Linked DNA regions of Neurospora crassa OR74A. The protein of the gene in region 2 purifies or fractionates together with the protein of the main gene of each other region. This does not show direct contact. Links are inferred from orthologs where the notes say so. Each region holds a gene or a part of one and is shown on either strand. Other genes may lie near its edges. The genes, in order: ckb-1 and crf6-1.

What was found.
Region 1: the proteins of crf6-1 (region 2) and ckb-1 purify together in Saccharomyces cerevisiae (affinity purification with mass spectrometry, with the first as the bait; 5 studies listed by BioGRID). This does not show direct contact. The link is inferred for Neurospora crassa OR74A from reciprocal best matches to the Saccharomyces cerevisiae genes CHD1 and CKB1.

The regions. Positions count from the first base shown.
Region 1 is NC_026506.1:1,759,344-1,763,390, reverse strand, and holds ckb-1 (casein kinase II regulatory subunit), read right to left. Parts: upstream 2,682-4,047; 5' UTR 2,249-2,681; coding exon 2,090-2,248; intron 2,021-2,089; coding exon 1,178-2,020; 3' UTR 636-1,177; downstream 1-635. UniProt on the Saccharomyces cerevisiae protein: Regulatory subunit of casein kinase II/CK2.
Region 2 is NC_026501.1:4,381,119-4,385,702, forward strand, and holds the start of crf6-1 (chromodomain helicase, variant), read right to left. Parts: upstream 3,022-4,584; 5' UTR 2,854-3,021; intron 2,724-2,853; exon of another isoform or gene 2,401-2,723; 5' UTR 2,373-2,400; coding exon 1,959-2,372; intron 1,905-1,958; coding exon 1,875-1,904; intron 1,820-1,874; coding exon 1,723-1,819; intron 1,659-1,722; coding exon 1-1,658. UniProt on the Saccharomyces cerevisiae protein: ATP-dependent chromatin-remodeling factor which functions as substrate recognition component of the transcription regulatory histone acetylation (HAT) complexes SAGA and SLIK. It recognizes H3K4me.

The DNA.
Region 1 (4,047 bases), on a different chromosome or scaffold from region 2:
TCACTCGTATACAGTAGCAGTAACATTAGATGTCCCAAAGTCTAATATCACAATCTTTTTTTTCACGTCGTTACGGAGAGGCAGGAGCCGGGCCCGAAGATTCGGGCAAGGTACATAGCAACTTGAGTATCTGTCACTCCTCGAATAAATTGGCATATCCATCTCTGTCTTCAACAACAATCACAATCTGTTTACTTTGTCTTCTTCTGTCAATACTAATATAGCTTGTATATTCGTCGTCGGTCGTTCTTTGCATCAGGCTGATGAGATTGGTAACATACGCTTGTGAGATGTGAACCCATTTTCCTGATTGGTAGGTATTTTGTAAATTCACATCCCAAAATTCGGTAGCCGCAGTATAGGAAGAAGACAGGCTAAGATCTGCGTGAGTCAGCATGACAGTATGGCATCGAGAGAATAGTCAACAAGACTGTTGAAGAAAGACAAGAATTGTAGGTCGGGGGGGGGGGGGGGGGGGGGGGAGTTGGAAGAGAAAAAGAAAATGAAAAAAAGGAAGAAACAAAAAAGGTCATAGATAAAAGGATGGAGTAATCCGATGGTCATGTTACTGACAGAGTCTTCCCGTATGACCGGCTTATGACGGACCCATATTTGCCAGCAACAAAAATACCTATCTTGGAATGTAGCTACCATGGTCAGAAGGGGTTCCTCCGCGTAGGGGGTGGTAGTGAAGTGGAAAAACCAAGATGATTTAATTTAAAACTGCGTTGCGAACTGACGGGTAAACCACAAGAGGAACGAACAATATTGCGTCCTCCTCTCATCGTCTATAACCGGCATGCAATCATCATTGGAATGCGAATTTACGTCCGAGTTCGCTGTGTAAGAGAAAATCAACCTTGATATAGAAAAAGGAAAAGAAAAAAGAAGAACCCCAACCCAACCAAAAAGCGCTCTTGCAAGCTACTGTAACCGATTCCTGAACCCGTCCGTCCATTCCCCCGCCATGACGTAGAGAATCAGAAAGAAAGCCCAAAGGATATTTGTGCGTGTGATACAAATCAATGCCAGGTTTAGAGGAAGATGTAAAAAAGAAGTGATCAACAGTCCGTTGTCCAGATGCTTGCGCACACAATTCCTTACTCCTTACCTACAAAACCTGATCCTCCCCTTTCAATATCCATTTAAACCCAAGTTCCAGCCTACAACTTCGACCTCAAAGCTCCGACTCAGCCCCATTCTGTTCGATCGCCATCGGACTCCCGTTCTGCTTTTGCCTCCTAGGAGGCCCCCGCCGCCTCGAAGCTGTCCTGCTGCTCACACCCATGCTCTCGTCCTCGTCATCCGACCCTTGTTGTTCCGCATAGCGACGAGCCTCGTCCAGCACGCTCAAGTCGTCAGGCTTGCTGCGCAACCACTGCATGCGTGGCCCGGAACGCGCGATTTCTGACACCTTGAACCCGTAGATCTTGGGCTGGTAAATCTTGCCCCTGCCCAGCCCCGGCGCTATGTTGCGCGCGTACATGCCGTTAATGACGGTGGTGTCGTCAGAGCCGGATCGTGTGAGATTGCTAACGCTCTCAGCGCCGGTCTTGGTCAAGTCGTATTCGGGGAAGGTCATGAGGAAGAGCGCGCCAAAGGTGCGGCCGAAGAAGGCGCCGTCCACCGTCTGGAAGCGGCTGTTTGGCGGTACGTAGACGTCCAAGCAAGACGGGCAGAACAGCTTAACCGTGTCTTCGCCGGGCGTGTCCGAGAGGCCGACGGGCAGCGTGCGGGTCTGGTTGCAGTTTGTGCGTGGGCAGATGCCGAAGTGACCGAGCTCGTATTTTTCCGACATTTGCTGGATACCCGCCCGCGAGCAGATGAAGCGCTGATGGATCAGACCGTACAGCATCTCGGCCGAGGACTCGATCACAGAAAGATCGCTCGCGATGCGGCTGTGATGTCTCCTTTCGCCGTGGGGCTTGTTGATGCCGTCGCCACCGGACATGTCTTCCTCGTCCTCCTCGTCCTCCTCCTCCTCGTCATCATCGTCCTCGGGCTCGACATCAAGGATCATCTAGTCAGGTTAAAACCACAATGATTAGCTGCTGACGTAACGGACAAAAAGGTTCCAGAACAAGCATACCTCGAGAGCCTCCTTGTACATGGCGACCTGGGTCTGCAGGCCAGTAAGGTTGAAGTCATCTTCGATGAATTCTTCTGACACTTCGGCAAAATACTCGTGTCCCAGGAGGGAGCAGAAAGATGCGATCCATGACTCTGGAACGCCCGACGAGCTCGACATGGTGGAATTGGATATGGAAGCGACGCGAAACGATTCGAGTGTTTGGCGACGGAGTAGGCGTTCGATGAGGCTGTTGGTACCGCTATCGGACGTTATCTGATGAGTGCGATCGAAAGGCGCAAGACGACGACTGGGTATAGCTAGTGTCCCTTGGGGTCGACGCTCATCTGCGATGCTGGATGGAAGGGTTCAATTGTTTATTGCGTAGACATGACCGAGCGCATGAGATGGCGCAAATAGATGGACGAAAGGACAGACAGAATAGCTAGGCGCTTCAATGATTGTCTACGTGGTGTTGCAGCGAAGGAGGTGGTTGGTGGTTCCCTTCCTGTGCTGTTTTTGGAGTTTGCGCTAACGGAGGCCGTCGACTCGATGGCTCAGTCTGTTTGCCTTTTGGGGTTGCTCGAGAAGAAGCCCGCGCCCTCATTTCGTGCTACAGCCCACTCGTGGGTGTCTGGTCTGTGCGGCGCGCCCCGTCTTTTCAGTCTGGGCCCTTCCCAATCCTCCTCGTTCAACCCTTCCCGCAGGGAGCAGCCCCGCGCCCAGCCCCACGGTAGTATGATGCCTGATTTTTGCGCCTTCTCACATAACCCTGCTGAGCCCTGCCACATGCGCGTGCGGCAGCGCGTCGGAACCCAACCGTCTACTTTATCAGGTGGAACCAAGATAAGTAAAGGGTCCATTTGGTGATGGTTGATGAACGCAAAAGGTAGCTGGCTAGACCCAAACTGGTCCCTGGCTAGTCCCCCCCACATACTTTCGCTGAGTAAGCCCAGCCAGCCGCCCAGCCGCCCAGCCAGTACACACATACAATAGAGGCCACGTAACCGATGCCCGCGCATTACTAGATCTACGTCTTTTACGTTATTCTTTTTTATATAAGGGTATTCAAAAATCGTTAATCTAGTTAATTATCCTAATAATCTACTACTAAGGCGGTTAATACTATAGTTGCTAGTAATACTACTGTCCTCTTTGCTAGTTCTAATACTATACTTATTGCCTAGAGTTAGAGTGTACGTGCCTACCCTAATTTTAATACCCGTTGTATAAATACTATCCAAAGTACTACCTAGAGTATTGGAGAACCCCTATATTATATCCCTATAAATATACTAGAAATATTAGAGGTAGTGCTATAGGGGCTGGAATTCGCTTATACTATATTGCTAGTATAACCTATCCCTCCCCTTATTATTAGTTAGAAGGTGGCGGACTATCCTAGTATTAAGGCAGCTATTTAATAGAAGCTAATAATTTATAATTGAATTAATTAGGGCCGGTAGGAGTTAGTATATAGTTATAAGATGGCTATTACTAAATTAGCGGCTATTATTAAACTTAGGGATAAGGAGATAGAGAGGGTGTTAGAGTTCTCTATAAGGGAGTTGGGGGGTAAAAAAGCGAAGGTAAGGGAGCTAGCGGTATTTTTAATATTAATATTTGCTATAATATAATACTTTCTATAAAGTTCTAAATAAATACTTCTAAATCTACCCGCGTAAGGCCCTCTCCTATTAACTCCTACGTTACCGCTCGTTAAATACCTCCTCCTCCTTTACTTTTACTATAGTAGCGAAATATAAATATTAGCGCCCTCCCCCTTCTCTAAGTATTTTACTATATTACCCGGTAGGGCGGTTTATTATAAGAGAATATATAGTAGTTATTATACTGGTTACGGTTGATAAATATGGGGTTAATGGGTTAGGCGGACAATCCTTAATTACCTTTAAAATTATATAGTTTATAAACCTCCGGATTTATAAAGTTATATTCCGATACTCTACGTATATAAT
Region 2 (4,584 bases):
GTCGCTGAGGGCAGCATAGTTGCGTGTGAGAATGTTCTTGTAGTAGTCAAGTTGCACGTCAGACAACTCAACTCGGATGATCTTTTCGGTTTTGGGGGGGAGGTCCGACTCGACCGTCTCCTTGGTGCGACGCAAAATGAAAGGAGCGATTGACTGATGCAACTCGCGGAGCTTCTCTTGGGTCCTGATACGCCTAGCCTCATCCTGTTCTTCATCAGTGGGACCTTTGTTATCTGCGGTAGACAACGCTTCAAGCTCCTCATCAATGACGACCTTTCCGGGGTTAAGGAAGTCGAGGAGGGCTGAGAGTTCGGCCAGATTGTTCTGAATGGGTGTGCCGGTAATGAGGACCTTGCAAGGAACGCCGAAGTTGTTGAGCTTGATGTAGAGCTGTGACTCTCGGTTCTTGAGACGGTGGGCCTCGTCAACAGCGAGAACTTGCCATTTGATGTTCTTGAGATGATCCGCATCGGCCAAGATGTAGTCATAGGAAGTGACTAAGACATTGAACTTGGTCTTCTTTGGGTTACCATCCACAAAAAGTTCGTAATCTCGAATGTTGGACCGAGCTGCCTCCGGGCCCAGGTAAACGACGTAATTGAGATCCGGAGCCCAATGATTAAATGTATCGCACCAAGCGGGGATGACGCTAAGAGGAGCGACGACAAGGAACGGTCCTTCCTGGCCGCGTTCATTCCGTAACCAGCTGAGGAACGAGACGCTTTGGACAGTCTTTCCCAGACCCATTTCATCGGCTAAGATGACGTTGTTGCCCCTTACCCAGTTGAGAGCAAGGAAGTTAAGGCCTTTCATTTGGAACTCGCGAAGCTCGCCGCCCTTGATATAGTCAGGCTGCTTCTCCAGTTTGGTCATCCTCGACCGGGTATCGGGGTTAGTTTGCTTGCGGTCAGACTGCCATGACCGGTTGCATCGGTCGAGGAACTGGTTAATCTTGTCCTGAGCAAGTTCGGCCACGAGAGACTCGGCTTCCCAGGTGCACTCGTCGTATTGCAGGCCCTTCCACTTGATGTAATACTCGGTGCCCTCATCACCGTCTCTGACAGCCACAACGCGCTCGACCTTTGTGTAGTCTTCGAGGGCCTCTTGCTCACGTTCTCTATCCAGGTACCACTGCTCTTTCTGCTCCGGACTGATATCGTCGCCACCGAATTGCATCTCCAGTTCGTACTCAACAACCTTCTTGTAATAGTTTTCGAGGCGGCGAAAGCCTCGGAAGCCTGCGACAGTTTCCGTAGTTTCCCAGGTGTTGTGGGGATATGATTGTCCCTGCCACTTGATGAAGTATTCAAAGTCGTGTCGCGTAGAATCCACCGTGACCTCGACACCCTCCTTAGGACGATGACCGAGGATTTTCTCGATGTATGGCGAGTTATCCTCGACATTGGCAGACCAGTAGTTGGGGGTAAGCTCGGAGTCGTCCTCTTCATCTTCTTCGGCGTCACTTTCTTGGTAGGCACCGGCTGAGACCTGGGCGGCCCGACGGCTAGACCATCTCTTTTCGCTAAAAGCCAAGGCAGGGTCCTGTTCTTGTTGCCTGCGGACCTTTCTTTGGAAGCTGCGGGCTTTGGCGCCTCCATATGTGTCCGAGTCGGAATCATCGATTGAGGGTTGGCGAGCAGGAGTGCCACGCTTGGAAGCTGGAAATCACGACAAGTCAGCAGTGAAACAAAATGCCGAGGAGTATGACGGATGAAAACTTACCAGGCAACGAGCGTTCAACCCGACGTCTCTTCGCAGGCTTTCTAGACACCGGTGTGGCATCCGATTCGGATGGTTCATCTTCTTCATCTGAGTCGATCTGTTTACTCAGTTAGGAGAGGCGTAACGACGAGAGCTCATCTTGATCCACTTACGATCTGCGCACGGCGTTGTGTAGGGCGTGACTGTTGTAGGTCGTTAGCATGGTATAACACAACAAGAATGCGGGATATTCGTACACTCCTCCTCAACCCATACAGGGCAGGATTCTCTCTGATGTAATCATCCTCGGTCGCGTGGGCGACTTTGCGCTTCACGACGGTACGGGACGACGAGGCAGACACGACTTCGTTGCTCTGAGCAGACCTGGGGCTATCGGGGGCGTCAAAGTCTCCGTCATCTGACGCGTCGTTATCACTTGCTGAATCGGACGCTTCCTCGAACGTCAACTCGGGTTTTTGTATCGGCGAGACAGCCTCGTCGGCAGGCTGATACGACTGGGCGTCGGCGTCGTCATTTGGGTCGGCCTCGGCGGCATTAACGTCTGAAAGGTCGCTCGTGCTTTCGGTATCGTTGGTAAAGTTGAAGTGGCTGTCATCCGCCGGCGGTGACACATGCCCGAACACCGGACCGGATTCGGGAGATGTCGACATTTTGAGACTTAGACGCGGAGGCTGCCTGCTGTAAGACGACGATGTCAGCCAGCGGTACGCGTCATTTACGAATCACTACTTGGGGCGATGGAAAGAGGCCACTCTTGCGACCCGGAATCATCAGAGAAATCCGGTATCGGGGTAGCGGACGACCCTCAATGATGATTGTCGCATTGGCTCGCGTGTAAGTGATGGAGGCAAGGCTGTGGATGATGAGGCGGACGGCGACGGCGATTGCAGTCGCGTGTGGGCGCCCTGAGGGCACGGGAGAGCAGGCCATGGTCTAGGGCAGCTGTAGAGGCGATATTCATCAAGAATCGACGGTCTGGCGACCTCTACAAGCTGGTAGACGATGGATATCAAGGGCGACGAGGCCCGCTTCGATGGGCGAAATGATGGGGAAAATGCAAGGCGAATACGCAGGGCAGGGCACGCAGTGGGCAGTGGGCAGTGGGCAGTGGGCGGCAGTGGCTGGACTCACAAGTCATGGAAGAATTAAGAGCCTCCAGGCAGCAGACTGCAGAGTGAATCTTCAAGCCCGAGATTCACAATCGCGGTGCCGTGGGAGGAGTGGTGGTGGGGGAAATGGTCAAGGCCGGAGACCCTGGGAGGGGGCTGGCAGTGGTGATGGTGTAGCGGAAAATCGCAGTGATGGACGGAGGAGAAGAATCCATGAAAATGGTGAACCAGAACCAGCAACACCAGTGGGCCACTGCCTGGCTTGTGCTTCAGACGAGGCCCGCTTGCCCTCAACTCAATGCTTGCTCAGTCCCACTTTCTGATTGGTCAGTTTCGTTGGAAGCAACCTCCGAACTCAAGTGTGGGACCGCCACATAAAGGTTCCAGCTCCGTAATTACCGAAACCGAAATGTAACGCGTGTCTTGTGATCTGACCACTTCAATGATGTTCTCTTTCACTGGATGGTAGCGCCAGGAGGAAGCACACTTGCCTAATCCAGTCCGATGGGCGCTGTCACGATCCTTGCCCGTTTTGCTCACAACGCACGAATTTCAGTTGTGTGACGAAGATCTGTAAGATCAATGTTTCTTGTAAGTTTGGGTTTGGAAAGAACGAATAACAGGACACAAACCCAACGCGGCTCGAGCCTGGTCGGATATCATTGCTGGAGCTTGCCAGCTCGTTGGTTGCCCACTCCGATCGTACCCTTCCAGACGGCGTGGGCGGTGTGAGGCAGGCGAGAGCGGGCGATTCCCGATTCAATTGCTTGGAGGTATGTATGGTTATGACCGCTCAGCTATCAGGTTATACAACACTGGAAGAAGTTCAAGGATGGAATGTGGTTGATATAACAACAAATGATTCAGAGAAGTGTTGTTGTCGGTTGATGGCACATCGACTGTGTACCGGTGCGACTTGGGAATCAACAAGGTGGGAAAGATGGAAGATGGACGACAAGCTGAGAATACTCCCGGTACGTGGACGTCGCCCGGTTTTTCTAGGTAGGCATGCTGGCGTCGAAGGGGTTTTCTTTGTCAGCTCCGGTGCAGGTGCCAGCCATGCACTGGTCTCTCCTGGTGCTTCACTTCAACTTGGTACACCGCGAGCACCGGCACCAAGGTGATTTGGATGATTTCCCGCCACTGGAGCTCCGGCTCGAAGAGAACCTACTGCGAGCCGACGCAGGCAAACCCAGGCAGGCAGTCAGGACGACAACATCTTGTAGGTGATTGTGCGGGGCCACCTCTATTTAACCCATTCCACAAACGTAATCCGAGAGCCTCCAAAAGTGTCAAAGAGAAACAGATATACCTAATCAAAGATTTTATCCTCGTCTCATGCCTATCCGACCAAAGAAATACCAGTCCTAAACTCCCTTCAGATTATGAGTATGTCCAAGTGGGTATGGTAGAGGCACCGCTTCCCTGGCGCAGCTGGAGCAGATCCGTCCAGGACGATGGATCCACACGATCCCGTGCTGCTGGGGCCACCAGCCTTCCTTGACTGCCAACATTGACCTCTGTCGGCAACTATCTTCAACGTCTTGATGCCGATGTCATTTCTGCCTCGACAACATGTGGAATAGACTGCTATCAGAGTAGATTGGTTGTGAGTCACTGCCCGGCCGGGGCGCAGGAAACATATGTCGACAGGCAGCCAGAGCTCTGTTCGGAAGTCCGGTTTGATGTCAGTAACCCTGCGCCTCTCTGCATCGTGATCGTTGACGGCATCCGTGATGCTGCGAGTGATTTC